Linked DNA regions of Nothobranchius furzeri. The protein of the gene in region 1 purifies or fractionates together with the protein of each later gene. This does not show direct contact. Links are inferred from orthologs where the notes say so. Each region holds a gene or a part of one and is shown on either strand. Other genes may lie near its edges.

What was found.
Region 2: the proteins of ubr5 (region 1) and sox2 purify together in Homo sapiens (affinity purification with western blotting; 3 studies listed by BioGRID and IntAct, with this or other methods). This does not show direct contact. The link is inferred for Nothobranchius furzeri from reciprocal best matches to the Homo sapiens genes UBR5 and SOX2.
Region 3: the proteins of ubr5 (region 1) and atmin purify together in Homo sapiens (affinity purification with western blotting; 3 studies listed by BioGRID). This does not show direct contact. The link is inferred for Nothobranchius furzeri from reciprocal best matches to the Homo sapiens genes UBR5 and ATMIN.
Region 4: the proteins of ubr5 (region 1) and plk1 purify together in Homo sapiens (affinity purification with mass spectrometry; 4 studies listed by BioGRID and IntAct, with this or other methods). This does not show direct contact. The link is inferred for Nothobranchius furzeri from reciprocal best matches to the Homo sapiens genes UBR5 and PLK1.

What each region holds. Positions count from the first base shown.
Region 1 is NC_091745.1:50,573,755-50,580,713, reverse strand, and holds part of ubr5 (E3 ubiquitin-protein ligase UBR5), read left to right. Parts: intron 1-2,121; coding exon 2,122-2,379; intron 2,380-2,475; coding exon 2,476-2,744; intron 2,745-3,616; coding exon 3,617-3,828; intron 3,829-3,963; coding exon 3,964-4,197; intron 4,198-4,291; coding exon 4,292-4,365; intron 4,366-4,446; coding exon 4,447-4,619; intron 4,620-4,732; coding exon 4,733-4,882; intron 4,883-5,082; coding exon 5,083-5,300; intron 5,301-5,429; coding exon 5,430-5,550; intron 5,551-6,855; coding exon 6,856-6,959. UniProt on the Homo sapiens protein: E3 ubiquitin-protein ligase involved in different protein quality control pathways in the cytoplasm and nucleus. Mainly acts as a ubiquitin chain elongator that extends pre-ubiquitinated substrates.
Region 2 is NC_091748.1:72,768,546-72,775,963, reverse strand, and holds sox2 (transcription factor Sox-2), read left to right. Parts: upstream 1-2,251; 5' UTR 2,252-2,739; coding exon 2,740-3,708; 3' UTR 3,709-4,631; downstream 4,632-7,418. UniProt on the Homo sapiens protein: Transcription factor that forms a trimeric complex with OCT4 on DNA and controls the expression of a number of genes involved in embryonic development such as YES1, FGF4, UTF1 and ZFP206. Binds to the proximal enhancer region of NANOG.
Region 3 is NC_091749.1:56,995,145-57,002,103, forward strand, and holds the end of atmin (ATM interactor), read left to right. Parts: intron 1-2,175; coding exon 2,176-2,301; intron 2,302-2,801; coding exon 2,802-3,001; intron 3,002-3,085; coding exon 3,086-4,871; 3' UTR 4,872-5,415; downstream 5,416-6,959. UniProt on the Homo sapiens protein: Transcription factor. Plays a crucial role in cell survival and RAD51 foci formation in response to methylating DNA damage. Involved in regulating the activity of ATM in the absence of DNA damage. May play a role in stabilizing ATM.
Region 4 is NC_091744.1:8,885,158-8,892,768, forward strand, and holds plk1 (serine/threonine-protein kinase PLK1), read left to right. Parts: upstream 1-2,765; 5' UTR 2,766-2,945; coding exon 2,946-3,299; intron 3,300-3,614; coding exon 3,615-3,783; intron 3,784-3,893; coding exon 3,894-4,038; intron 4,039-4,112; coding exon 4,113-4,206; intron 4,207-4,287; coding exon 4,288-4,510; intron 4,511-4,634; coding exon 4,635-4,677; intron 4,678-4,790; coding exon 4,791-4,888; intron 4,889-5,020; coding exon 5,021-5,098; intron 5,099-5,723; coding exon 5,724-5,878; intron 5,879-5,964; coding exon 5,965-6,147; intron 6,148-6,228; coding exon 6,229-6,423; 3' UTR 6,424-7,009; downstream 7,010-7,611. UniProt on the Homo sapiens protein: Serine/threonine-protein kinase that performs several important functions throughout M phase of the cell cycle, including the regulation of centrosome maturation and spindle assembly, the removal of cohesins from chromosome arms, the inactivation of anaphase-promoting complex/cyclosome (APC/C) inhibitors, and the regulation of mitotic exit and cytokinesis.

The DNA.
Region 1 (6,959 bases):
CGCCCTCAAAAACATAGAGAGCCGAGGATATCTAGCGGCAGACACGGAGAAGCATAAAGAGTACCTTGATGAGAAACTCTAAAATATGAACGTTTCATTGCCCCGTGACTGGAGGAGTGAATAGATAAGCAGCAAGCGTTTTATTTTTGGCCTGAAATGATGGAAACGTGGGTTTAGAGATGGTGAATGCTTGAAGAGATGGAGGAGGGTGAGGGACAAATTTATCCGTGTTAAAAACACACCATCTTGGACCGGATACATGACAGGATACCACAGAAACGCGCTACGCCCCCTGGTGTCCTGGAGGGGCATTGCTTTGTAACACTCCCCAGGAGACGGAGAAGCATGAGGACAAAACTTCTCTGTCCGTCCGTGTCTCTCCCTGGTAAAGCTGACGGACACGTATAAATTAGGCATAATACTCTTGAAACAAAAATCTTTGTTGACTAAACTGACTAAGACTAAAATGCATTTTTGCCATAAATTACTGCCAACACCGAACCTGCGTCAGGGCCTGACAGAACAAGATGAACGGCAGGCGCTTTAACTGCTAAACTACCAAAGCCTATGCACTGATGTTGCTTAAACCCGTAACCCCACTCTGTTCTCTCTGGTCTGACCAGAACCTCTAACTGTACCTAAGGGGTCCTACAAGAAAGTGAGCATTCTCTCATGCCATGTCCAAATAATGGAATTGGGTCAGCTGTTTTTAACATGCTTTATAAAGGTTAGATGGATGAAAAAGTCTAAAAACATGTGGCAATCAATAAAAAGGTAAAACTCATTGAAATGAGCAGTCCCAAAATACCGTATTGACCCGAGTATAGGACGACCCCCCTTTCCAAAACTAATCTTCAGAAAAAGACAACAAAAAACTTTTTAAAGAAATTATTTTTATTGAAAATTCGAGAAGAAATACTGAGCAAAAATACAATTTTAATACAAACTATCAGAACTTTGCTGACATCAAAAGTCAAATGAAGCTTTTATTCAGACTCCCTCTGCCTCGCTGTTCTCACTCATGCTGCTGTGGGATGTACCATCAGATGGCCACACCTGCCGACTCCTCCCAGAACGTCGTCTTCACTGCCATCCAATCCATCCATGCATGCAATGTTTGACGCCTCTGCTGAGTTGACCACCGTCATCTTAAAATTTGCATACCTCTGCCTTATAGCTTGTTAACTTGCTCCACTCTGTTTCGGACCTCTCGTCTTCATTTTTTCTCCTGTTGATAACATGCAGCCTGGCGCCCCTCTGCTGTTACGGGCGTGTAATGGTTAGACCCCAATTATAAGATGACCCCACATTTAAAATTGTCAATGAAACAAACCTTGTCTTATCCGGGTCAATAAGGTAAAATACATGTAAAATACATAAAAGCAACTTAAACCATGTACACTGGGGCAACAGTGGCACATGAGTTAAGTGTTCGCTTTGTAATCGGAAGGTTGCAGGTTTGAGCCCCGCTCAGTCTCTCGCTGTCGTTGTGTCCTTGGGCAAGACACTTAACCCACGTTGCCTGCTGCTGGTGGTGGTCGGAGTGACCGGTGGCGCCAGTGCTCGGCAGCCTCGCCTCTGTCAGTGCGCCCCAGGGCAGCTGTGGCTACACTGTAGCTCATCCCCACCAGCGTGTGAATGTGTGTGTGAATGGGTGAATGACTGATTGTGTTGTAAAGTGCCTTGGGGGGGTTCCAGGACTCTAGAAGGTGCTATATCAAATACAGACCATTTATCATTACTAGTGGGCTAAGATTTAACACAATCAAGATGACATAAAAGAAGTGAACGGCAGATTTAAAACGTGTTAAAGGGGGAGCCAGATGGACGTGCAGAGGGAGAGCAAGTTCCTTAAAATGGGGCACAGTACCCATTTTAACTTTATTCTTACATAATGCACCTTTTAAATTTAGTGTTTTGGTCTCAACAGGGAATGGAGCTGATTTGACTTGATTTCTTACTGCTTTCTCTTAGTGCTCCGATAAGTTATTGTGTGATTCACTAACGTGCATCAATGATTCTGTACGTTTGAATAGAAAACCAAAGTGGAATTAAAGGTTAACAAAGCTATTAAAGCATTTTTGTGTTTATTGTTTTGTTTCTTCTCTTCCTGTATTGAAGGTGCCAGCAGTGTTCCTGCCTTCTTTTCAGAGGACGACTCCCAGTCCAACGACTCCAGTGACTCGGACAGCAGTAGCAGTCAGAGTGATGATGTTGACCAAGAAACGTTTCTCTTAGATGAACCTCTGGAACGTACCACTAGCGCCTCACATGCTAACACTGCAGCCCAAGCTCCTCGCTCCATGCAGTGGGCTGTTAGAAACACACCCAGCCAAAGGACAAGTGGAAGCGCTCCCTCTAGCTCTTCAGCTCCAGCTGGTCAGTCAGCACCTGTCTGCATTTAAAAGTCTACAGTCTGTAGGGCGTTGAATTACAAATGTTGTCTATAATCATTTTATTTTGCCTCTTAAACAGCAAGCTCCACCGGTTTGATCTACATCGACCCTACAAACCTGCGCCGCTCCAACGCCATCAGCTCCAGTGCAGCAGCAGCTGCGGCAGCTCTGGAAGCCAGTAACTCCAGCAGTTACCTGACGTCTGCCAGTAGCCTGGCTCGTGCCTACAGCATCGTCATCAGGCAGATATCAGACCTCATGAGTCTGATTCCCAAGTATAACCATCTAGTCTACTCACAGTATCCTGCTGCTGTAAAGCTCTCCTACCAAGATGCTGTTAGCCTGCAGGTGATTATCGTTGGATAGGTCTGTCAGAATATCACAATCATTAAAAAAAAACCTCTTTAATAATGTTAACCTCAGACTTTATGAGTTAATGCAGTGGTCAAAAAAATGTTTGTCCCCCACCCCATGAGTGCAGACACGTGCATGTGCACACACTTATTATTTTTTTATGTTTCTGTTCTTAACAAATAAAAGTAAACCGCAATAACTTGCAGGTTACAATGAAATAAATAAATTCTGGAGTTATCTGGGACCCGAGCGACAGATAAACCGCACAAATCCCATATTCCATTTTACAACTACGAGAACCTCCAGAGCTCCTCTGCTCCCCGATTGTACACTCGTCCAGGTAACCAGACTGAATGATGGCTGAGAAGAGGCTGCACTCTCGGGCATTTCCTAATAAAACTAACCATGCAGAATGCCTCCTTAAATGGAAATGCAACCCGTTACTCAGCTTTTTATTTATTCCTGACGGGAACCTCTCCTCTGTCTCAACTGCGTTTAACCTCTGCAACTTGTTTGTTTCTTTTGCACTTTGGCAGCCGTTGTCTCAGTCTCACTGTAAATAAAGTTTTTTTTTTTTTCGGGAAATACACAAGCTGTGGACCAAACATGGTTACTTAAAGGTGTTGCTGTATGTAAATGACGAGAACAGACATGAGCAACTGGGCAGCACAGGTAGGATTTATCATCAGATGAGTGCGGAGGAACGTGCGTACGAGAGCCCACCGTATGTTAAATAAATCAGGATTTTGACCGTTCGTCTGAACGTTCTAAATTTCATTTGTAGGGAGGAAGTTAGGACAGTTCCTATGAACGATAAAAAAGGGTCCATACTATGACCAGTGTGTAATGATTATCATGTCTACCAGAACTACGTGGAAGAAAAGCTGATTCCCACCTGGAATTGGATGGTGTCCATCATGGATTCTACTGAGGCTCAGCTGCGATATGGCTCGGCTTTGTCGTCAGCTGGAGACCCGGGTCACCCCAGTCACCCACTTCACGCCTCTCAGCACTCAGCTCGCAGAGATCGCATGACCGCTCGGGAGGAGGCCAGCCTCCGCACTCTGGAAGGACGCAGGTATAGTTTTTCTTCGTCTTCATTGGAACATAATGACTGACTCAGTTTATTTGTTTACAACTTGATCAAATGAAAACACAGACCAGAAGTCAACCCATGCAGTCGTTTGGTTCACAATCATCTGCTTTCCTTCAGGAGAGCAGCAACGTTGCTGACCGCCCGTCAAGGCATGATGTCAGCACGGGGCGACTTCCTGAACTATGCGCTGTCACTGATGCGCTCCCACAACGATGAGCACTCGGATGTTCTTCCTGTCCTGGATGTGTGCTCGCTAAAACACGTAGCCTACGTGTTCCAGGCTCTGATCTACTGGATTAAGGCTATGAACCAGCAAACCACCCTGGACACCCCTCAGATGGAGAGAAAGAGGTGTGTGTTTAAAAGTTGCATCACCAGACAAGTATTGGTTGCTAACTAAACGGCTCATTGCTTAAGTAGAATTATTTATTTATTTTTTCACTAGGAATAGAGAAATATTGGAACTGGGCCTGGACAACGAGGATTCTGAGCACGAAAACGATGAAGACACTAACCAAAGTACAGCAGCTTGGTTGACTACATCGGTACACAGACGCTGGTATTTTAAACTTTGTTTGAAAAGTTTTTCTTTCAACACAGGTTCAACGCTGCAAGACAAAGACGATGACCCAGTTCCAGCTGAAACGGGTCAGAACCATCCCTTCTTCCGCCGCTCGGACTCCATGACCTTCCTGGGCTGCATCCCACCCAACCCCTTTGATGTTCCTCTTGCGGAGGCCATTCCACTGGCAGACCAGCCCCATCTCCTGCAGGTCTGACATGTGGCTGTTCTGTGACATGCTTCACCAGCTACACGGGACATGTTTGTTTGTTTGGGTTTTTGCATTTATGTATTAAAAAGTCCATGTTGCCTCCTGTCTAACAGCCTAACGCCAGAAAGGAGGACCTGTTTGGGCGTCCCTCTCAGGGCTTATACTCCTCCTCCTACATGACGACCAAAGGCCTGGCTGAGACCAGCATGGACAGGAACTGCCTGGAGGTAAACATGGGCTCCTCTCTACTCTCCTCCTCTCAGGTACACCACCCACCGTCAGAGAAACAGCTGAGCTCTATGCGAAGCAATTTAAAACCAAATGCTTAAAACAACACAAGATTATCTCCTAGATGTTTGTTTTAAATGTGTTTACTGGAACCTGATAGTCATAATCCCATCATCATTATTTCAGTGTGACTGTTTTCTTCTTGCTAATAAATAACACTATCCCTGGTGGACAGATCCTGCCCACAAAGATGTCCTACACAGCCAACCTGAAAAATGTCATGAGCATGGAAACTGGCCAGCGGAGCAGTGACAACCAGTTATTGGGTGAACAGGAGATGGAGGCTTCTAAACCAGGACCTTCTCCTCATGACCTCGCTGCCCAGCTGAAGAGCAGTCTCCTCGCTGAGATTGGTCTCACTGAGAGTGACGGTCCTCCTCTTCCGTCATTCAGGTGAGGTCGCTGGTGGTTCTCTCTAAAACTGGAAGAAGACCTCTCAGCAGAACCTCATTTTTTTCCCAAATGTTATCAATCAAAATGACTTTTAAACATGAGAATGCCGTTTGTCCTCTGCTTGTCCAGGCCTCACTGCAGCTTCATGGGGATGATGATCTCGCATGACATGCTGCTTGGCCGCTGGCGTCTGTCACTTGAGCTGTTCGGTCGCGTATTCATGGAGGATGTGGGAGCAGAGCCCGGATCGGTAACTATCTAGGCTAACAAAGAAGATGAATGTGTTTAGCATTTTAACACAGAACCTCACTTTGGGTTTCCAACTAGAACTGGCTGGAAATGTTTTCAGGGCCCTCGCTTATCAACCTTCCTTTAGCACAGATTGGTACGTAGGAATGATTTTACACTTTGGTGTTTACCGTCTTGGACAGCGCTGAATTTTTGTACGAACAGCATCTAGTGGTGGAGCGGGGGAGCCACAATACTGAAGATCATCCACGGTGTTCCTCATCTACAGATCATTTTAATTAATAAGTAGTTGTCCTGGAGAAGCAACGTTGTCTAAGGGTGTGCCGTCGTAGGTACCTCACAGCTCCTTTTGATCATCATGATGACCACGATAAACAATGTTTTCTCTCATAGCTTTTTCATACCTTCAAATTAGTTCTGCACACATTAATTCACGTAGCCAAATAGCTTTTATCTTATTGGTGTGAGACCGAACACATACCAGCATGCTTTTGCATGAAATCTACAGGAAAACATGAATGATAAAAATGAAAGTGAATAGAATCAGCTGAGGCAACAAAGCTACGTGAGCTTCTGGCCTTTAGATCTGAAAGAAAACAACCTTTTATAAAGCGCCTCTCAAGATAATAATCATGAGGCGCTGAACGGAGAAACGGCGCCACATCGCGGCCTGGCAGGATGTGGAAGTGGCGCTCAGGTCGCCAAACAAAAGACAAGAAGTTAAAAGATCACACAGACATTTACTAGAGAAACCATGCTTTAAAAGAAGCCTTCTCACCTGGATTTCTGCATGTTTACCCCTTTTCCAACATTTTCCCGGGATCGGATGAACATCGCTGGGAACGTTGGTGTTGGCATTAGCATTTGGGTCTGGGCCAGTGCACATAAACAAACAGGAAGGTAAATCCCAGGTGTGTCCTGGGCGATCGCGGACGAGGTCACTTACATCCATCAGGATTTTCACTGTTCGTACGAACGTTCTAGATTTCATTTGTAGGGTGAAATACGGGTCAAGAACCTTGATAAGTGAGGGCTTCACACCAAACCATACAGCAACTATATGCTCAGTGGAGGGGAAGTTTCCAGCTGAAATAAATTAAAAAAGGTTTGAACCATGTCTGACAATAGTTCTCTCACACACACACACACACCAAATCGGACTGTAATGGAAGCGTCAGAGCTCCCTTTGCTGTTTTAGTAAGGATGTCACGTCTCCATAAATGAAACAATTCCATGGGAACCTATGAATGAGTTGGAAGCAAGAGCTTTGACTTCAGATTGTGTTTTTTTCTCCCTAAAACGCCAGATTCTCACTGAGTTGGGCGGATTTGAAGTGAAGGAATCCAAGTTCAGACGGGAGATGGAGAAATTAAGGAACCTTCAGTCTCGTGACTTGGCTCTAGAGGTGGA
Region 2 (7,418 bases), on another chromosome or scaffold:
TTTTTTTTTTCTTTAATCTCTGTTAAGTTCTTTCCCACATCATCAGACGCGGTTGGTGTGTTTTCATATTTTCCTCCGTGTGTTGAGTCCGTGGCACGGCCCCTGGCGGCTGAAACTCCCCTTTATGACCTTTATTTGTCAGAAATGTGTTTATGTAGGAGGCCTTAAAATTCCCTCGTTTTCTTCCCTTTAACAGGATTAGTTCCGTTTAAGTTCAGACTGAATAAAGTTTCATCTGCAACAGGTGAAAAATAAACTTGTTTGGAGACAGGAGACAGGTTTTATTTATTTATTTTTTAGTTCCCGCGCATTGCGGGTGTTTTTGCTCGCATGTTTTGCGGAGATCCCATCATCTAAATTTGTGCAACCACAACACGGTATTTTGGTTTCCCAGCATGCAGCTCGTTGCATTTGCAGGATCCATCCCAACCTGCTGTGGTGGGGGGTCTTACAAGTGGTCGGAGGGAACCGCCCCTCTAGTTTCCCCGGCTTCTTTATTTTTTTGTCCAACAGCGGGTTTAATGCGGGATGATAGTGGATGCGGGGCCACTCCCGGCTGGCTGGGGCCCGCTTTCACAGAGCTGCGGGGCCCCCGCTGTTCCTTTATTATCATAAGCAGATTAGAGGTAGCGGGGAACACACTCAGATGCAGATAGCAGCCGAGCGGCCCATTTCAACCTTGCATCATAATGGACCGAGCTGCATGTGTCGCTTCTTGCAGCCTATTAAGCACCAGATGAACCTCATAAGGCTGCAGAGGCCCGGCCGGGCTCCGCGCCTCCATTTATTATCAAAATGACTAAAACTAAATAATACAACTTCATCTATTTCAAAGATGCTTTAATCTGCGCATTTAAATGAAATAATTGCAGGTGTGTTGGTCTGTCTTTACTGGTCTGCTGCACTCGCAGATCCGGACGTATGTTTGGTGTTTGGAATAAAAATGATGTGAAATAAATATTTTTGTATTTTGGTTTAGTTTTTTTTATCTACTTTAACTTCTAACAGCGGTGATTTTGTTGTCTGAGAAAACTTTTTTCAGAGTTTGCGTGTAGTTCTGCGTTAGTCCAGTAGGCGGCACTGGTGTCACGCAGCACTGCGCCAAAGCCGCGAGGTGGACAGTCAGAATAGAAACAAGTGGCACCAAGCGCTGCAGACTCCAGAAGTTTGCTCGTGTTGGACTGTTGAGCTTTCTGAGAGTGTGTTGCCTTTGTGGAGAATCTCATGTCGCATTAATCTGAGTTTGATCAGAACTGAAGCAGGTAGAGGCCGCTGCTTTTCTGACTCCCTCACGCGCTTGGTTGTGTTTTCACATGAATCTAGAAACACTCATGTCCTTTTATTAGCCCTCCCTTTTAGACAACGGGTCTAAGCCGCCTGCAAGCCCCCAGCAGCAGCAGCAGCATCAGTGGAGTGGAGTTGGGGCTTTGTCCGGACAGATGTAGCGACAACATCCCAAACAAAACGCGCTTATTTGTGCTGATGAGATGAGCCCGTCTGCCTTGTGTGTGTTGGCATTCAACTTCCCAAAACAAAAGCTTTAGGTGGGGAGGCAGACATCTTGGATTACCTTTCCTCCTTTCAACACCCAAAACCAGCCCCCCCCCCCCCCCCCCACACACACACACACAGGGCTTTTGAGTTAACTAACAACGTTTACTTAAGTCTTGTTGTGCTGTTGGGCCCGATTGTGTGTGTGTGTGTGTGTGTGTGTGTGGAGGGGGGGGGGTGTTAGTAACTTTTTTGATTATTCTCTAACACTGACACAAGGTCATGCCTTCAGTCAGAAAAAAAAACAGTTTCCGGTTTGAATAACGTCACCAGTTGATTATTGTATTTCTTATTAAAAGATATTTCCGCCTATTTGCCTTCATTTCACCACCTAAACATTAGATTATTATGTCTGGATTAAAACTTTCTAACTCAGCCACAGCTGAATATAAGATAATTGTCATTTTTTTTGGGTCGTTTTATTAATTTTGAGGAATTCTTTCATCATTTGCACGTGCTACCTGTTCAAGAAAAAAAACTTTTTATTTATTTATAAACGTCCTATCAAGTTCGGCGTCACAGTTTTACTCTTCATAAATAAAAACACTCGCAAATGAGCTTCTATACGGACAGCAATGAGAAACAATAATGCTCATAGTACATGTGTACTCTGTGTTTGGCTCATAGGGCAGCCTGAGAGTGAGAGTATGCCCGTAAGCTCCGGAGCAGACAGGCCCCGCCTCTTTATGCTAATTAGGGCCTCCCATTGGTGTGTCAGTGGGGAAGGCCTGCTCTGATTGGCCAGGTCGAAGCCATTTATTCGATGACAGCCATGACATGGTTGTCTATTAACTTGTTCAAAAACTATCAGGAGTTGTCAAGGCTCAGGCGGGCAGAGGCGCAAAAGTACAGTTTGTTGATGCTTTTTGGAGGAAGCGAGAGAAGTTTTGTGGACACGACATAGCAGGGACCTATTGGGAGAAGGCTCTCTGTCCACACACACTCTCTCACACACACACACACACGCACACTCGGGGGACGGAAGAGAGAAGGGAGAGTGTGTGGAGACGCGGCTTGATGCTTGTTTTTGTCCAGAGAAAAGTTGCAGAGCAACCCGACAGGTAACTTTCAGCCGCTGCGCTCCTCGCTGCCTCCGGCTCCTGGAGTTTCTGTTTCTTTTTCTTTCTTCCTCTTTTTTTTTCGTCCTCCATTCGTCGGCTTGGAAGCACCGACTCAAAGCTGTTCCTGATGTATAACATGATGGAGACTGAACTGAAGCCCCCAGCTCCCCAGACCAACACGGGGGGCACGGGAAACACCAACACCACGGGGAACGGCACCAACCAGAAAAACAGTCCGGAGCGGGTCAAGAGACCCATGAACGCGTTCATGGTGTGGTCCCGGGGCCAGAGGAGGAAGATGGCGCAAGAAAACCCCAAAATGCACAACTCCGAAATCAGCAAGCGGCTGGGAGCAGAGTGGAAGCTCCTGTCGGAGAGCGAGAAAAGACCTTTCATCGATGAAGCCAAGAGGCTGAGGGCCCTGCACATGAAGGAGCATCCGGATTACAAATACCGGCCCCGGCGGAAAACCAAGACCCTCATGAAGAAGGACAAGTACACCTTGCCCGGCGGGCTGCTGGCTCCTGGAGGAAACGGGATGGGCACTGGAGTCGGTGTCGGGGTGGGGGCCGGACTGGGCGGTGGAGTGAACCAGCGCATGGACAGTTACGCAGCGCACATGAACGGCTGGACCAACGGTGGCTACGGCATGATGCAGGACCAGCTGAGCTACCAGCACCCGGGTCTGAACGCGCACAACCCGAGCCAGATGCAGTCCATGCACCGCTACGACATGAGCGCCCTGCAGTACAACTCCATGACCAGCTCCCAGACCTACATGAACGGCTCCCCCACCTACTCCATGTCCTACTCCCAGCAAACCACGCCGGGGATGACCACCCTGGGCTCCATGGGGCCCTCCTCGGTGGTCAAGTCCGAGTCCAGCAGCTCCAGTCCGCCCGTTGTCACCTCCTCGTCCCACCGGGCCGCTCCTGGCTGCCAAAGCGGGGACCTGAGGGACATGATCAGCATGTACCTGCCCGGGGCCGAGGTCAGTGACCAGAGCGCCCAGACCAGGCTACACATGTCCGGCCACTACCAGAGCGCCGTGCCCGGGACGACGATCAACGGCACGCTGCCGTTAACACACATGTGAGAGAGAGACAGACAGACAGAGAGAGAGAGAGTGAGACAGAGCAAAAGAACTTTTATAAGAGAAACTGCGGACTATAGACGCTGGACTATTTTTGTACAGAAAAATTTGGGGTGGGAAAAGTTGTATAGAAGTTTCCAGGAAAAAAGGACTCCACTGTTTCTTTTAAAATTAATTTTATTTTTTATTTTATTCTGAAGATGCTCTAGAGGAACGATAGGAGACCCCCCCCCCCCCTCTAAAATGGTGGATGGAGTTTGGAAATCTAGAAAGTGGGAGTCGCAATCAGATGTTTTATTATTGCAATCACCTTTTGTACAGTATTTATCAAAGAAACATTACAATCAGAGGGAATTGCTAAACTGCAAGAGGTTGCATCTTTCTTTTCGTTTTTTATATAAAGCGGCGCCAGTTCTGCAGAAAAGATGAATGAATAAAAACTGCAGAATTGGAATTTTTATCAGTTAGAATTACTGCAAACACTGGAATGAAAAGGGACATAAGAAGCAGGTAAAACTGTTATTCTTTTCAGTTTTTTCTCCATTTAAGGTCAACGTTACTAAACTTTTCTTTTATTTCTTTGAGAAACAAACGTGAGACAATTTTTTCTGTCATGCAACTTAAATTTTTAGCTAGTTAATTTATATTTCCGTCTCCCACTTTTCATCATTTAGCGGACATGACGCTTGTGCTCTTTATTTTTTTTATTGATTTGTACAATTTCTGTATATTTACTGTGACATTTGAAGTTTTTATTTCAAAGCTCATTCCCGTAGTTGTATTTTGAAACTCGTGGCCTGTACGCAGAAGCCACGCACTCCATGTAAATACCCCCAGACTAATACCATCCTTATAACAGTTACAGTTTCAGCTGAGTATATTTTTTTTCAATATGCGGTTTGAAATGAATAAATTTTGGAAATTTGGATACTTGAAATAGTTTGAGTTTTGATTCAGTTTCTGTCACGTTGAATAATTCGTGTGTTGAGTGTTTTTTTTTCATCCCGTCTTTTTATTTGGCATCTTTCGGGTGATTTCTGCCTTTTGAGAACAACAGCAGCTTTCTGGGGGGACGCTCCTCCTTTATTCCCAGCCTGTGCGTCGAGGTTAACCACGTTTCTTTCTTCCAGTTCCCGCTGGTCCTCAAAGACAAAGTTTGTTGCCTGGAGAGGTTTTTCCAGCAAAAATTCCCAACATTCCCAGGTACAGACTGTCATTTCTCTTCTTTGATATAAAAAGAGGAAAACGTTGAGGCAAACATTTCATCTTAATACGTTTAAAAATGCTAATAATTGGTATGTGGGGGGCCTTTTTTGGACTGGGGCACTATTTTTATTTAGTGACACAACTGAGCAGGATTTTCATTTTTAAATAATTTTCCCAGTATTTCCGTGTTGTTTCACTGCTTGTTTGTGTTTTGCTCCTATAAATCCCAGTTTTCCAAGCGGCTTCCAGACAGGAAGTCGCGTTTTAATGTCTCTAAGGAGATTTAGTTTTAATTTAATGTTCACTCAAACGGTTCACACCGCCTCTCCGCTAACTGTCACCGTCTGCACACGACACCAACCTCTAATAAAAACAGGAACCCTCCAGAAAACAAAAATCTTCCCATGCGTCTTTCCGCCAGCAGGCCGATTCCCCTCCACTCTTAATAATAATCCCTTTGATGAGCTAACAGCTCGCCCTGAATTTAACTAACGGTTCTAAATCGTTAAGAGTGTCTGTGTGTGTGTGTGTGTGTGTGTGTGTGTGTGTGTGTGCGCGCGCGCGCGTGTGTGTTGTGGGGTAGATTAGGACCGTTGTGTCTTGCAGGCTCGGTCCCGAGGGAGCGGCAGATGAATATTTGAAGAGGCCACTCTGTATTTATCCATCCACTTCTCCTTCTCTCTCTCTCTCTCTCTCTCTCTCTCTCTCTCTCTCTCTCTCTCTCTCTCTTTCTTTCTCTCTCTCTCTCTCTCTCTCTCTCTCTCTCTCTCTCTCTCTCTCTCTCTCTCTCTCTCTCTCTCTCTCTCTCTCTGGAGGTCAGGCGGATCGTCGGTTTCCTCATTAATTATTGATCCGAACAGCGGATTCGCTTGTAATAGCCGAGCAGGCCGGTGATAAACAATTTGTTTCTAAAAAGGTCGGACTGGACGCGTTAAACCCCCTCCCTTCTTATTCAATAAGCGCCGGGCCCCTGCAGGCCCGGAGGCCCCGATAAATTCATATTTATCCCGGCTGAGCGGAGCAGCTTTGATGTAAGGAAAACACTTTTTATATATTATTATTTGACAGGAGAGAATGTTTGATCAACTTCTGTTGTCTGGAGCTTGTGAGACCTGTTGGTCACGCCTAGGAGAGAGCTTCAACCACAAGGTTCAGTCTTAAATAGCATTCATTTCAATTAGAAACGATTCAATTGCATGGTATATATATATATATATATATATATATATATATATATATATATATATATATATATATATATATGGCCTTTTTGACTTGATTTAATCTTAAAAACTAGGGGAATATACAAGTGGTTGAGATCACATTTTGAATGAAAAACATCCAGATAATTTAGTGAGTCACGTGTTTGAAATTTCACCAGTCAATAAATAATTTAATTAGAATAAAATCGCGTTAGAACTGAAATATTTAAGTGCTGTTAACATCCTATAAATGAGTGTATAGCTTCACTTCTAGCGCTGATCAGGTGTTTCTCTCCATCCTTTCATCTTCCGCTTCCCGCGGCGTCTGGCGGCCGCAGCTCGAGGATATCTGGCCTGCAACAGGTGGTGAGCGCGCGCCAGTTTTGTTCTTCTTTAGTTCCATCGTTAAAAAAAACTTCCAGATGTTATCTATGGCAACCGTGTGTGTATGTGTGTGTGTGTGGGAGGGGGCGCGCTCCGTGTTTCATAACAAAGGTGCTCTTTTATTTCTTTTCCAACGCTGAAGGGAACAAAAAGTGAAAAAATGTCACCAAAAATTTTGAATTATTATTTGTTTTATTACAGCGAGTCTGAAAGTATTTAAAACAAAAATAAAACATTTAGATTTGAATAATTACAAAAAACGGTTTAAAATAAATACAAGAACACTTGTTTAATCCACAACGAGACGTGTCCCGCGCCGTTTTCCAAATCCTATATTGTCTGTTTGTTGTTGGGATTAAAAACATTTTTAATTAGGTCAAATGACCAGTTTGTACACGCGCGCGTGCACACACGCAAACAATGCCTGTTTAGTGATCCCGTAATCCCACGAGAGCCACTTTCCTTTTTCATCACGGATGATGAAGAGGAGGGGGCGTGACGTCAGCTACCCATGAAACGCTCTTTAGTGATTCTGCGTCTCTTCCACCTGCTGACCGTAAACGCACCGCGCGTGTTTGTAGAATGGAAATTGATTTAAATAATTCCAATAATTAAAAATGACTTGTTGTGAGATTGAAGAAACATTTAGATGAAAACTTATTAATAAAAACAATGTTCCTCGGATAAAACCGACTCGTTTTATTACTTTTGTTGTTTTCGTCAAACTCACAATTATTTTCTCAGAAACTCAGAAACGACTAAAAATAAATAATCAGTTTCTTTTTCTTTTGTTTCTCATCTGCGTGCGTGCGTGCATGCGCGCGCGCGCGCGCGCGCGTGTGTGTGTGTGTGTGTGTGTGTGTGTGTGTGTGGAGACTGAATGGCAGCCAGCAGCCTGCTGATCTAGCGCAGGTGCAGGGA
Region 3 (6,959 bases), on another chromosome or scaffold:
GTCACTGCTTTATGCAGGTAAAATGATACAAAACAGGAGACACCCAAAACTGGGGAATTAACTACAATAATATTAAACACAAAGCGCCGGGGATTAAAAACCGGGTAAGGAATGAGCAGGATTAACACAAAAAGCTCCACCAAAACGGTGAGCCAGATCTCTCTTTAACGAGGATGCTGAAGAAACACAAACGAGCTCTAGAAACTAGGAAGTATTTACCGATACCACTCAGGTAAGCAAAGCAAGACTTTAACGTCAGTTCGAGGAGGGAAAGAGGAGAGCAAACACTGCTGCTTGTTCTCTTCTGAAGCCCCCCCCCTATCATCAGACGCACCCTTTTAACGGGGAGCCTCACTGATTGAAATCAAAGTCACCTGGCAAAGCTAGAGCCAGGAGAGCAGGTAGGAACGCTGAGGGCACCTAGTGGCCACAAAACAGACAGCGTCTGTTACACTCCTACGGGTGTTTACATGATCATGTATGTTCACTCTGTTGTCGTGCAATGCATTCAGGGGAGCTGTGGTTTCCTAAAATAAGTCCTGTTGACTTGTGTTTAGGGCTGACGACAATCAATTAATCGTACGATAGATGAAAATGAGCTCAATAATATTTCCAACATTGACATATCGGTCTTTGTCAGACACGTGGCCTGCATGTCAACCACACCCCCTTAGCGCAACTTTAGGTGTATGACTCGCGTTGTTGGGGAAAGTCGCAGCTGAAGTTGAAGCAGAACAAGAGTCAAAAGGATGGATTAAAAGAACAAGGAAGCATCCCTTACAGGAATAAAATTGTGCAGGAGGCTAGAGATCTGTATTTTCAGAAATTGTCTACAATCAATAACGTACATCTCTACGACCTCAAAGGAAACAAACGGAGCTCAGACGTTTCATTACTGCCAAAAATATATCACTTGAGTAAACGTAGTACTACTTCAACATATTTATAATTACATGAAAGTAAAAAGTAGCCATCCAAAGACATTACTTTACTAACACAGGTGCTGCGCCAGGTTTTAATTTCTGGATGGGCGTTAATTAATTAATTAATTTTGGAGACATGGGGTCTATTTTATTGTTTTTGGTGCAATAGTTTCTAACAAATAGTGACCGTCTTTTTTTAATTATTATTATTATTTTATTTAGTAGTTCTGGTTCTGAACATTGCAATATTAAATAAAGGTTTGTTGCATTATTATGATATATTAACATTACATAAGTGGTTATTTTGGTCTAATTATGGTATAATGTCCACAATATCGTTAATCGTCAACTTGTTGGACAGTAAACCATTTAGCAAAATTTGTTATTGTCCCAGTCCTATTTTATTTTATTTTATTTTATTTTATTAAAGTGTCCGTGTCACAGACTGTGGTTTTCATGAAGTATTTTATTTTTATTTTTACTAATTAAGAGAAGAGGCTGATTTGCTTCCTCAAACACTGCATCAGCCCAAGCAGAATGCTTTTTTCAGATTCTTCTATTTTAGGAGCCATTGGTCGAGCAGGGCTTTGTTTTGTGCGTCAGTGTAATCGGTATACCAGAAAATCATGCACCGACAAAGGTTCCACCTTGCTTGAAATTCAAGCTGTAATTAAATGCATTAATATTTCTTAATGCGTTATGTTTTTCTAATTAAATAATCAAAATTAAAGCGTTGAATTCTCACCCCTAATAAAAATACAATGGGATGTGTATTTAATGAATGACACATTATAAGGACCTTCCAGCTGTTACTGTAATAAATATGTTTGTGTTGTAAGAGACTATATTCATACTAGTTCACAGGGCAGCTAATGTTAATGAATGTGAGACAGCTGGAGGAAGGGTTGGTAACCAAAATGCAAGAAAAATTAGGCTCTTTATTCAAACAAATTGTGAGATTCAATAAAGAAATATTGTGACTAATTTAGATTTACTTTTGTCTTTTTTTGTACTCATTATTTAATGAGGGTTAGGGTCTGCCACACGACTCTGGCATGTGTAAAACTTGCTGCAAAAACTCCATAAGCATGAATTTGGTTTGAGTTTAAGGGATAATTTGAGTTTCTTCTCGCAGTTTTATGTCTCAGCTAATCCCGATCATTGACAGCCCTGTGAGATACTGGCTTCAGTATCTTAACATTTAACATGTCTTCTTGTCTTTTTTTATTCATGCTGCCATGGATACCATCAGGATGGGATGGTCAATCCCACAGTCAGAAAGGAAATGAAGGGCACTCAGAAACTTTACTGCTGTCCTATTGAGGGCTGTCCAAGGGGGCTCAACAGACCTTTCTCCCAGTTCTCTCTGGTTAAACAAGTAAGCAATGATTCACGCATCTGTTTTTACTTCTTACAAGACTTTTAACTCCTCACACACATTAGCTTCCTTTGATGTGTTTGGATTGCAAAAAAGTGTCTAGTTACTTTACTTTTCAGTTATGTATTTTATGTTAAAGGTTTGACTTCTAAATTGCAGATTAGAGCTAATTAAACACATGGATAGCGGTAGCTTGTCCTCATGCTGCTAAAGCATTTCTGATTGAGGAGACGATGCTTGCAGCAGGTCCTCTGGGTTGCAGGTTGGTTCTTTCAGAACTAGGTGGGTTTTACACCTTTTAGAGTAACCAGGAAGGGTTGATGCCATCAGGCAGCGCTGTTACCAAGAGGGAGCATTTTCTCAGCGACAGTGCGTAGGTGGGAGGGCCCTGCATTAACATTCTGACCCAAGGTTTTCCATCATATCACCGTTATCGTTTTTGCTCTTCTCTGTACCTGTTGGGTTTTATTTCCATGGCCTTTTACTTTGCATCGTTGTAGCACTACATGAAGATGCATGCAGAGAAAAAGCACAAGTGCTCTAAATGCAGCAATGGCTACAGCACAGAGTGGGACCTGAAGAGGCACATAGAGGACTGTGGGAAGACTTACCAGTGTACTTGTGGCTGCCCCTATGCAAGCAGAGCTGCACTGCTGTCACATAACTACAGAACAGGTCACGAAATCCCAAAAGAATACAGGCACGTAGACCAAATGCTTCATTGAAATCTTGCATTTTCTTTATTATGATCTGTAGAATTAACTTGTTGGTCTTTTTCTTTCAGACTTCCTCCAGTCAAAAAGCGAAAGATGGAAAAGCATACAGGTGGTTCTGAAAAAGTCCGAGTTAATGACTCAGCTGTGCAGATCATGCCTTCTACTAAGGAGTTGACAGAAACTTCTCCACCTCTTGATTTGGCTGCAAACATCCTAGATCCAGCTAACCAGATTTCCAGCCCCCATAGGAGCCTTCAGAAGTTGCTCCTACCAAAACCCAAAATTGCCTTGGTCAGTGTTCCTGTCATGCAGCTGGCCCATCTGCCTGTTCTTCTTCCATCTACAGAAAGTGGGACTCTGAGGTCGGTGGTTCTTGCAGTAGACAACCATGGCTCTTTCAGTACATTCCAGCTCCTTCCACAGACAATGGGAGCACTGGTTCCCCAGCTGGATGGGAAAGGCTTGGTTTTCGAGAACAGCAAGTCAACTTCCCGTTCTACCCTGGATGGCATCAGCACAGGGGTGCAGGTCAATCTGGACCCTGTTGGTTTAGATGACTCAGCCAGCAGTGTGACGGGGCAGCGAGGAAGGAGCACCTCTACCAACATCCAGACTGATAAATCCTATTTGTCAAAGCTGCCCATCGGGATGGGAGTTGGGGAGGGAGCAGGGTTGTGTTCCATGGGCGAGGCCTCAGTTTCATCCTGCTCCCAAACAGACATCAGTGTGAGTGCCCAAGTCCTCCTGCCAGTCAGTGTGGAGACCCAGACATTCTTTTCCCGAGCCAAATCCACATCATCTGTTGGAGCTCAGACAGAGAGCCAGGGCCTGAGCCAAATCACGTCCCTCTCCTCATCTGTGCTCCCGTTTCAAACCAGACAGACGCAGACAATCGTTGCTCTGCCACAGTTGGAGGATAAGGCTCCTGACCAGGCTGTTATGTGTTCAGATCTATTTGTTAATGAGTCTCTAAGCACTTCAACACAAACAGCCCAGGACATTATTAACAGCCCTAGTGCTGCAGGAAGAAATCTGTATGAAGACTCAAAGTCGGTGGCGGGTATGTGTTTTGGGGTGCAGACACATGAGCTGGGTGCTAACAACATGGCCGATAACCAGACCCAAACGATAACGCTGTTAAATGACCTTGAGAACATTCTGGCTGGCGGCATGTCGGGTCACCAGGTTCTCGCGGAGGTTTCTGCTGGTTGTGGGTCCGGTCCTGGCTCTGTTCAGGAGCAGCACAATGGAATTGACTTTGACTTTGAGGAGTTCCTCAACACCGTTCACATTCAGACACAAACGGAGGAGAGTGAACTTGGTGTGCTAGGTGGTGACACTCCGCTGGAGTCGCTGGACATTCAGACGCAGACAGATTTCCTCCTTATGGATGAGCTGGACCAAAATGAGGGACAAAGTCGACCCCAAGCCAGTGACCTTGAGCTGTTTGACACCCAGACTCAGACCGATCTCAATTTCCTGCTGAATGCTGGCAGCAACATGCCCCTAAGCAGTATCCTTCGACATTCAACCTTTTCAATCAGCACCGAGTCGTCAGATACCGAAACACAGACGGATCTCCCTTCCTTTACTACAGCTCCATCCTCACTTTCTAATGGAGGTCAAGGTGAGGCAGTGAGGTTGTTGAACAGCACAGAAACCCAGACTGTGACCAGCCAAGCAGAAGGCCTGGGGCAACTCTTTCTGACCAGCAATGAAACCCAGACCGTTATGAACGACTTCCTGTCAGCAGACCTGGCGTGGAATATGGAGTCACACTTTAGCTCTGTGGAGACTCAGACCTGTGAGGAGCTTTGTGCTCTCTTTCATCACCCCGACAAACCCGACAGCTGAAACTCTTCCTGAAGTAGGGTTGACCATTCCAGTGGGACGTCCGTGTCCACAGCTTTTCCAGGTGTTGATCCTGACAGCTTTGCTGCACTTTATGAGCTCCATGGGCATGGTTCATTAGCTCCTGTGACAGTTTACATATTTATTTGCACACAAAGTCACGTTATATGTATCTTGTCAGAAATGCCATGTGTATATTTGAGCATAGGACCACTGTGGGTAGTTTGTGCTGCTTGGTCCGTCCAAGTGTGTCTAGGCAGAAAACCTTTCTGAATTTATTACATCTCAGCTGTACAATATGCAGTATTGTAAAGTTTGTTTACATGTAAAATGGGCACGGAGGCCTTTTTAGGTCAATGGCACAACACAAGCATCTGATCGGCTGCCTCTTCAGCGTCGCTGTGTCCGTTTAAAGACGCTGAACTGCAACCATCAAAGCTTATATGACCAGTGAAAGTCGTTTTTGGTTTTCAAAGCCTTTCAAGAGTTGAGATACGGTTGTAAAAATTTAGAAAAACTAAAATGTTGCACAAGTAAAATCTTTGATGTCTTTGTTGGTTTTTGCACAGCTTTCATTTAGGTGATTGTGATGTCTCATATGAAAAATGTTTTCTGGGTTGGTTTTTGTTTCTACATGAAACCAAGTCCGTAAGCGGGCTCGACTGTCTAACTTATTTATTAGCTGCGTGTAAGTGTGTACAATAGCAGCAACCTGTTCTGAATGGATCTGATGATGTCATTGTGTAGCAACAGCGAGTTAGTTGGGATGAGTTGTGTTACTGTTCAAACCAGTCATGTGGAGCATCCCATTTTCTCTCCTAACGTTGTCACACAGTGTTTTAACTTGGCTTTTCTCCTCTCTGAGCGGCTAAACTCAGCATTTTTGGTGAAACCGTTACCTCACCTGCACCACTTAATCAGCTACGTTCTACGAGGAAACATAGAGCCTTGTTTTTAGCTTGTTTGGTTGTATTGGTGCCTTGTTCCAGGTGTTAATATCAGCTCTGGTTTAAATAGGTCACTGCTTCCATAAATAATTTCAGAAAGTGATCAAACATAGTAGGACTGTCAGAAGCTGTGGGGTCTTTATGTTGCATGTTTAATCCATAGTGTTTTCAACATTGTCGCATGATCATCAGTAATATTCTGAGTATTTTTTCATATTTTCTATGGAAATATGTATGTCTTGTCATTGAATGATTGCTGTGCAGTGTATTATTATTATTAGGATGAATATCTTTCATTCCATTTCTTTGGAACATGTTGTTTTCTTATTCTGACTTCTATTTCCCTGTGAAAATATTTTGACACAATTTTTTTTTTGATCTTCACGCTTTGTTCTTCATTTCAGAAGATTTAGAAATGATATTGCTGCTTCCTGCAGATGTCGTAGGATGGCAAATGTCTTCAAAATCTATTTTGTGAAGGCTTTTGGTCTATATTGCAACGTTTTCTTCTCCCTTTCTGGGAGTGCATGCACAACATTTGTTTAGCAGAACTGAGTTTCTGTTGCCTACACGTGTAGAATAAATGGTTGCCTTGATTGTTTCTTGAAGCTACACTACAGATGTCAATAAAAAGCTATGAAGTACTGTTTTTTTATCTTTTAATATTTAAATAATAGTTGCATTCTGCTAAAAAGAAGAAAAGACTCCTGGAGATAGGCACCAGCTGTCTACGGTCCTGTATGGATAAGCGAGTATTGAAAATGGATGGCTGGATAGAGAAGAAAAGTCCACACTTCAAGGTTTTTGAAGATTAAAACTAAATAGAAAAACGTGACTTCTTTAATGTTTACACCTTTTTGTGCTAAAATTAGATAAAACATAAAATGTAGGCATCGCAGATGCATGTCAGACACTTATTTCAAATTACTTTTACACTAATAATATATTTATAAAATCTAAACAATATAATCCCATTTGCATATCATTGCACTGAGTGCACTTCAAAAAATGTGTGGTGGGTTTATAAATATCAGTAAGGGCTGCATGACCTGGATCCAATTCCCACCAGGAGACGTCTGATAGAAGTGGAGTACCGGTACATATAAAGTGGATGAAGTGCTGGGAGGCATTTAAATGAATCCAT
Region 4 (7,611 bases), on another chromosome or scaffold:
CGCAGATGACACAGTCTTTTGGAGAAATTACTGCATAGTAATTTCCTCATGAGGGCAGACCCTCAACATTAGGAAATAAGACTCCAAATCCTGCTGTCTGCTACCACTTTCTGCAGCAGCAGATTTGTCTGTGCTGATCCAAGCCATTCTGGGATTTTTTTGCCCCATTTGCAAGGCATTCATACCAGAGACCACTGCAAATGTATTGATTAAACAAGTTTCCCACGCCTTTAAAATGGCTACGTTTTGAATGAATGTAAAGGAATTCTTGTGGTTCTTTTGCAAGAATAACGATTTAAAGTGAAATTATTTCCCTTTGGTTTAGAATCAAATCAATTTCATTACATTTTCTTTATGTTTCATTTAACTTTTTCAAATTTGTAACCAGTGTTTCAATGTCCTTTATCCACGTACTGCAAGCCATGCATAGAATCAAATTGTCTTTTATATGTTCAGGACATACAGGTGAATCAATACAGTGTTTTTCTCTCATCTTTGTGGTACAGGAAAAACAACATTTAAAAGTAAAAGTATATAAAGATAAGATTATATAGAAATATGAGAAAAGTAAATGTATTGATTTTCATTGACAGTATAAAAGTTTTATTGGAAAGAAAATAGCATGCTGGAAAATAGTGCTGAAGAACAGAGCTGTTGCAGTATGTCAATATTTGTATTTAAGTTGCACCCAGTGACCTTGGGTGTTCTGAAAGGCGCTTTTAAATAAAATGTATTATTATTATTATTATTAAACACGTCTGTTTATAATTTCCCTGAGCTGGAGAAAAAAAGGTAAAAAAAAAAAAGAAATAGATAGTTAATAAGACAATCTGATTATTTTACAATTTACTTAATAGTGAATAAATGAAACTTTAATCCTTTAAGGTCCCAATGAGTATAAAATGAAAAGCTGGAGGAAATTATCACACCATATTTAGTTACATTGGATCTTTAATCCCAACACGGATTAGAATACAAATATCATACACTATTTCTCTTTTCAACAGATCATTTTTCCTGTCCTTGGTCCCTGGCAAACATTACAAACAAATGCATAGTGCTAGCATCATTTGAATATTTAAAACAGTCCCTACAGTCTTTTTAGGTCATTCATTATTATAAAGTGAAAACTAAAAGTTTGCATTCTCCACATAACTTTTAGATTTCACCATCACTTTTGAAGACAGACATTTTGATTAATTTTATTCTATATTTACATATCTTTGGCTGAAATATGTATTCTAAATGTGGCAAGCATGTTGTTCTGATTTAGGAAAAAACATCCTTTGTCCTGGTTTTGCTAACGCTTTACTTTATGTAGGTGAAAAATTAAAGAGCTCACAGCACCCTTGAGATTCCAGTGAGCCAAAACTGTGGAAGAAAAGAAGATGAAACATGGAGGGAGGTAACCTACTCTACTTTCTTTGTGCCCCTCTGCAGAGGACGTTCAGCTCTCTGCAAAATCCTGTGTAATAAACTAAATGTGTGTAAATGTTGACCCATACAAGCACAGACAAGCTTACTTCATTTAGTTTTCCCTACAGCATCTTCTGTGTGTTGCCATGGAAACACATGGCAGCAGAAGAGAAGGATGAATGTGCAAAAATGGAACAGACACATATAAGCCAGCAATCTCCACACATCACCCACCAGTCGGACTAAAGCCTGAAGACCATTTATAAACAAACACACAAAGTGAAAAAACAAAAAACTGTAAAACACACATATTTTAAAGAGTGTGTGCATAGTAAATAGTCCCTATATTAAACATCCCCCCTTATAACAAAGTCAAATCAGCCACTAGCTGTGCACTCTTACTTTTTGTTTTAATAACTATGGGAGGCTTCAACAGAAAATGATTCCCTGGAAAAAGTGTTGTGGACTGAAATTTTTATTTTAAGATGATGTTACCTATTTAATGATTAGACATTTATAAAGTTAATTCTAGACCATCATGACAATAATCTATTTATGATCTCATTATTTACAGCTGTGAATCCGTGCTGTGTCATATGAAGTGCTTATTGTGTGATTGGTCTGAAAAAAGTGCTTTCTCAAGGAACAATAATTGTGAATTTGTCCACTGCTGCCACCCAGTGGAATATGTGTGAAAGTGAATTAAACTATCAATAATGTAATTTTTTGCAACATCATGATTTTCTCAATTTACCTTTTAACTGTAGAAATACACAATTTAATAGTTCTGTGCCGATATCGTTTTTGCAAACATGCTTTTATTACTCAAAACGTTTGTGCATTTCGTCTTATTTTATTTCAATTTTCGTTTTTATTTTGACCACACTGTCGTTTCACTGTTTTATCCAGTTTAATAATATGATTACATGTTAAAATTAAATCCTTCTTGGATTCTGGATGACGATAAAATCAAGTAAAATCTAACACTAGTCTACATTTACCATCAGCCTTTGCGTTAAGGAAACGCAAGACGTCATTGAGCCAATCACGATGTTAGAACTTTATTTCAACCCCGTTGATTGGCTAGTTTTGCATTTTTCTTCCCACAATGCTTTGCGTAGAATTCAAATCAAGTGGACCAATGAGAAAGCGCCGTGGCGACAGAGCGAGCATTTAACTTAATACTAGAAACTGTTTTCGAAGGGCAGAACAGAACACAGGAGACGCCGCCGTCGGACACGTCTGCTGAATTATTCCATGAGGAAAGCAGATTTATTTTAATATTTATGTCTATATATGTCGTTTTATAATTGTAGAACCTAATGTTAATTATCGCTTGCTTTCAGGAAGTCTAAACTCGTGATTAGATTTAAATTCAGACGTGTATGGGAGAAAGTTAGCTAGCTAGGCTAAAGTAACGTCGGTTGTGTTAGGGTTAGTAGTTTGATTCTTGTAGTTTTCACCACGTTTACTGCGCGGAGAGAAAATAAACATTCCTGTAAGTTCATAGAAGACAGCTCTAATACAAAATGAGTGCTGGTACCGCAAAGCCGTTGGAACGTGCGGATCCCAAATCGGCACCTCTCAAAGAAATCCCAGAAATTCTCGTTGATTCCCGAACCATGAAAAGATACACGAGGGGGAGATTCCTCGGGAAGGGTGGTTTCGCCAAATGCTACGAGATCACAGATGTAGAGACGAAGACGGTGTTTGCTGGCAAGATCGTAGCTAAGTATTTGTTACAAAAGCAGCACCAAAGGGATAAGATGACCTCGGAAATCGCCATACACAAGAGTCTGGATCACGCTAACATCGTCGGCTTCCACGGGTTTTTCGAAGACGATGACCATGTGTTTGTGGTCCTGGAGATCTGCAGGAGAAGGGTGAGTACGATGGAAGGAAACCAGCTTTTCAGTGAGGTTTAGAGCCGACGGTTAAACACTGCGACATCTTCCGTTGTCCTCATGTTTAAATAGTGGGAAGCAAGCAGTACCAGACTCATTTAACACCTCACAACTATTTGATCTTTGATAAAAACATCTTAAAAAGAAACTTCTAGCCTATAAATGTGGGTTTATTGGTCCAGTACCACTCTGGTGGCCCCATGTGTACCATATGTTCAATCTTATAATTAAACGCATAAAAGATCACTCTTTTCTTGAGCTGTTGTCTTGACTGTTTAAAATGCTTTATTTCAGTCCTTGCTGGAGCTGCACAAACGCCGCAAGGCTGTGACGGAGCCTGAAGCTCGCTACTACATGGCCCAGCTGCTGAAGGGTGTCCAGTACCTGCACAACAACAAGGTCATCCACAGAGACCTGAAACTGGGCAATATCTTCCTCAACGACGACATGGATGTCAAAATTGGTACTCCACTTGCTTGGACTTGTAGCTTGCACTAGATCTTTTGTTTTTATCACGTCGAGAAGGATTTGAATCAAAGCATGCCTCGTTATTACGTGTTCTCTCTTGTTTAGGGGACTTTGGCTTGGCGACTAAGATCGAGTTTGAAGGCGAACGAAAGAAGACTTTGTGTGGAACGCCCAACTACATAGCACCAGAAGTGCTTTGTAAAAAGGGCCACAGCTATGAGGTCGATGTCTGGTCACTTGGGTGCATATTGTAAGTACAGGCCCACAAACGCAACTCATTTGAAATGTCCCAGCTGTGAAAGCTTCCCTTTTCTGTTCTTTCAGGTACACTCTGTTGGTGGGCAAGCCCCCGTTTGAGACCTCCTGTTTGAAGGACACCTACAGTCGCATCAAGAAGAACAACTACACCATCCCCTGGGTATGAAAATCAAACTGAATGCACCGTTTTCTTTCTAAAATTAAGTTAATAATTGAGTCGTATGATCTGAACAACCTGCAGCACATCACCCCGACTGCGGCGACTCTGATCAAGAAGATGCTGCACGCCGATCCTGCACAGAGGCCAAGCGTTGCTGAAGTGCAGGCCGATGAGTTCTTTACGTCCGGCTACATCCCCCTCCGTCTGCCCACCACGTGTCTTACTGTACCCCCTCGGTTCTCCATCGCCCCCTCCACAACTGCAGAGCTCAGCCAGCGGCGTCCTCTGACTGCTCTAAACAAGGGTAATGGCGATCAAAATGAAAATCTTTGTTTTTATTTTTCCTAGGCAATGATGTTTGAGTTGATCCACATAGATTTTATTAGTCTTGTTTTAGATGTTAACGTTTTTTTTTTCTTTGTTCCCAGTTGGTACGGAGAAAACGGAGGTGAAAGACGAGCCTATGCAAAGGTGTTTTTCATTTATTTATCACATGACAAACATTTTATAAAAATTCTAGTTCTGTTAGTTTTTATCTTTTCTTTGCGTAGATGTTGTTAACCTTTAAATGTGTGTGTGTGCAGGGCGGCTGAACCATCAGAGCCCTACCTGAAAGACATGCTGCAGCAGCTGAACAGCATCATGTCCACCAAACCCTCTGAAAGGGCCGTCATCCAGCAAGGTTAGTGGACGTGTCTCACTTCGTCTTTACCGATCTTGTGGAGTCTCTGTTGCTATTTCTCTGAATTTTGTCAAAACGGATGCGGTTATCTACTTTTTAATCTACATCTAAGGTTTTTTTGTGTAATTCCAGAGGAGGCCGAGGATCCTGCGTGCATCCCCATCTTCTGGATCAGCAAATGGGTCGACTACTCTGATAAATATGGATTAGGTAAATGTTAGGAGACCGTTTGTTTGTTCACATAAGCTGCAATTTTAACTTTGTAAGTTTGGTTTAGACTATTAAAAGTATATACAGGGTATCTGCAGGTCCATAAAAAGTCTTAAATTAGCTTTTCCAAATTTAAGGCCTTAAAAATCCTTAAAAATGACAAATAGTCCTTAAATAGTTTCCAACGGTCTTAAATTACCAAAGACCCAATAAACAAGATTCTTTTATTTCTATAAAATTTTCATGAATTTCTAGTTAGTTTGGCATTTTTTGTGTATGATATTGGCGTAAGCGGAACCGTACACATTCGGTTGGTTGTGAAAGGGGGCTATTTTTAGATGAGCATGCTAGTGGGAGTTTGCACCATGGGGAAGTGCAACATTAATGGTAAATGGATGGCTAATCCCACGTTCACGACCTGGTTAGCACCGGTTCCAGGCAATAGCTGGAAATTATAGCTTAAATTTAATTTAAAAAAAAAAGAAGCTTAAATTTGGTCAAAGTGGCCTTAAAAAAGGTCTTAAAAAGTCTTAAATCTGGCTCCCTTAAACCTGCAGATACCCTGTATAGATGTTATCTGGTACTGTTAAAAGTATCTTTACAGAGTTTTTAATGTCTGTTCCAGGCTACCAGCTCTGCGACAACAGCGTGGGGGTTCTGTTCAACGATTACACCCGGCTCATCATGTACGCTGACGGAGACAGCCTCCAGTACATCGATAAGACTGCAGCTGAGTCCTACCTCAGCGTTCGCTCTTTCCCCGCTACTCTCAACAAAAAGGTCAGACAGTGTTTTTATTTATTTTTTAATTCCATTTTATCCCCTTCAAGGCCATCACAGTGACTTGTATTTCTCTCTGGCTGTAGATTACGCTGCTGAAATACTTCCGTAACTATATGAGCGAGCACCTCCTGAAAGCTGGGGCCAACATGGCGCGGCGGGAGGGAGATGAGCTGGCACGGCTGCCTTACCTCTCCTTGTGGTTTAGGACGAAAAGCGCCATCGTACTGCACCTCAGCAACGGCACAGTTCAGATCAACTTCTTCCAGGTTAGATGGTTAACCCTTTCACTCAACGCGTGATGCTTCACGTGCGCGATCCCTCATCTTCTATCATTATGTGCTTTTCAGGATCACACCAAGCTGATCTTGTGTCCGCTCATGTCGGCGGTGACCTACATCGACGAGAAGCGAGACTTCCGCACTTACAAGCTGTCTCTTCTGGAGGAGTTCGGCTGCAGTAAGGAGCTGGCTAGCCGCATACGTTACGCCAAGCAGATGGTGGAGAAGCTGCAGGACAGCAAGGCTTCTTCTCCTGCACAATAGTCTAGTTTGTTCCTCAAACCTTCAATCACTTTCCCTTCTAGTCGCAGAACTTTTAATATTACGTGTATTTTTTAAAGCGAAGCAGAGGTTTTCATGTCACACTTACACAATGTGCTCCATCAACCTAAACTTTAATATGCCAACATGTTTTCCTCTTATGTTCACCTTTCATGGACTGCTTAATTATCAACACCAAGACTAATAACGTAGCTTGAAAAGAGCTGTTGAAATGCATCATTTAAGAAGTTGAGGCGTTTGGTTGTAAACCTTTCCTTTTTCCTGTTGTTGTTCTTGTGTTTTAAATCATTCAGGAAGATGTTCGTCTTGTGAGAGATGGACTCTCAACATGCTGTTCATAAAGCACTGGTCTGCTTTTCCAGTCTGTGTGTGCGGAAACTGACCGTGTTAATGTTTTCATCATGTACATTCTTCCTGTTTGTTTGTGTTTGTAACTGTTGGCTAAGCGGGTTGATGGTGAACAAACTTGTACATACTGCTGAGTATTTTAAAGAGGGTAAACCTCTGCTCAAGATGAAATAAAGATTGTTTTTCCAAGTAAAAATAAAAAATTGTTAATTCTCTCAAATCTTTGCATTTTGTTTATTCAAGTCAACAAAGTGCAAAATACTGAGCTAATTTCAGCTCCATTGGAAGCCTAAAGTCATGTCCACGGGTCTCTTACAGTAAAAAAAACACAATCTGGGCCATTATGTTATCTTCTGGTCTTGTTTATGTGCCATAGCTTTAACTTGATCATGTCTGAATTGTGAAGACAGTTTACGGCACAGGTTATTCAGGCTTTGTGTGAAATCACGTAGAGCTGAGGTAGTTCAATTCAATTTTATTTATATAGCGCCAAATCACGACAAGAGTTGTCTCAAGGCATAATAAACATTCCAATACAGGTCAGTTCATTAAGCCAATCAGAAATAATGTTTCCTATATAAGGAACCCAGCAAATTGCATCAAGTCACTGACTAGTGTCAGTGACTTTACAGCAATCCTCATACTAAGCAAGCATAAAGCGACAGTGGAGAGGAAAACTCCCTTAGGTAGTGAACTCTGTTCCCTGAGGGCTGGTGCCCAGCATGTTTTAGTTGTTTCCCTACACAAACACAGTTGATTCACCTGTTCAGCTGCTCATCAAACTCTGGAGAAGCTGTTAAATCACCCGTTGATTAATATCTG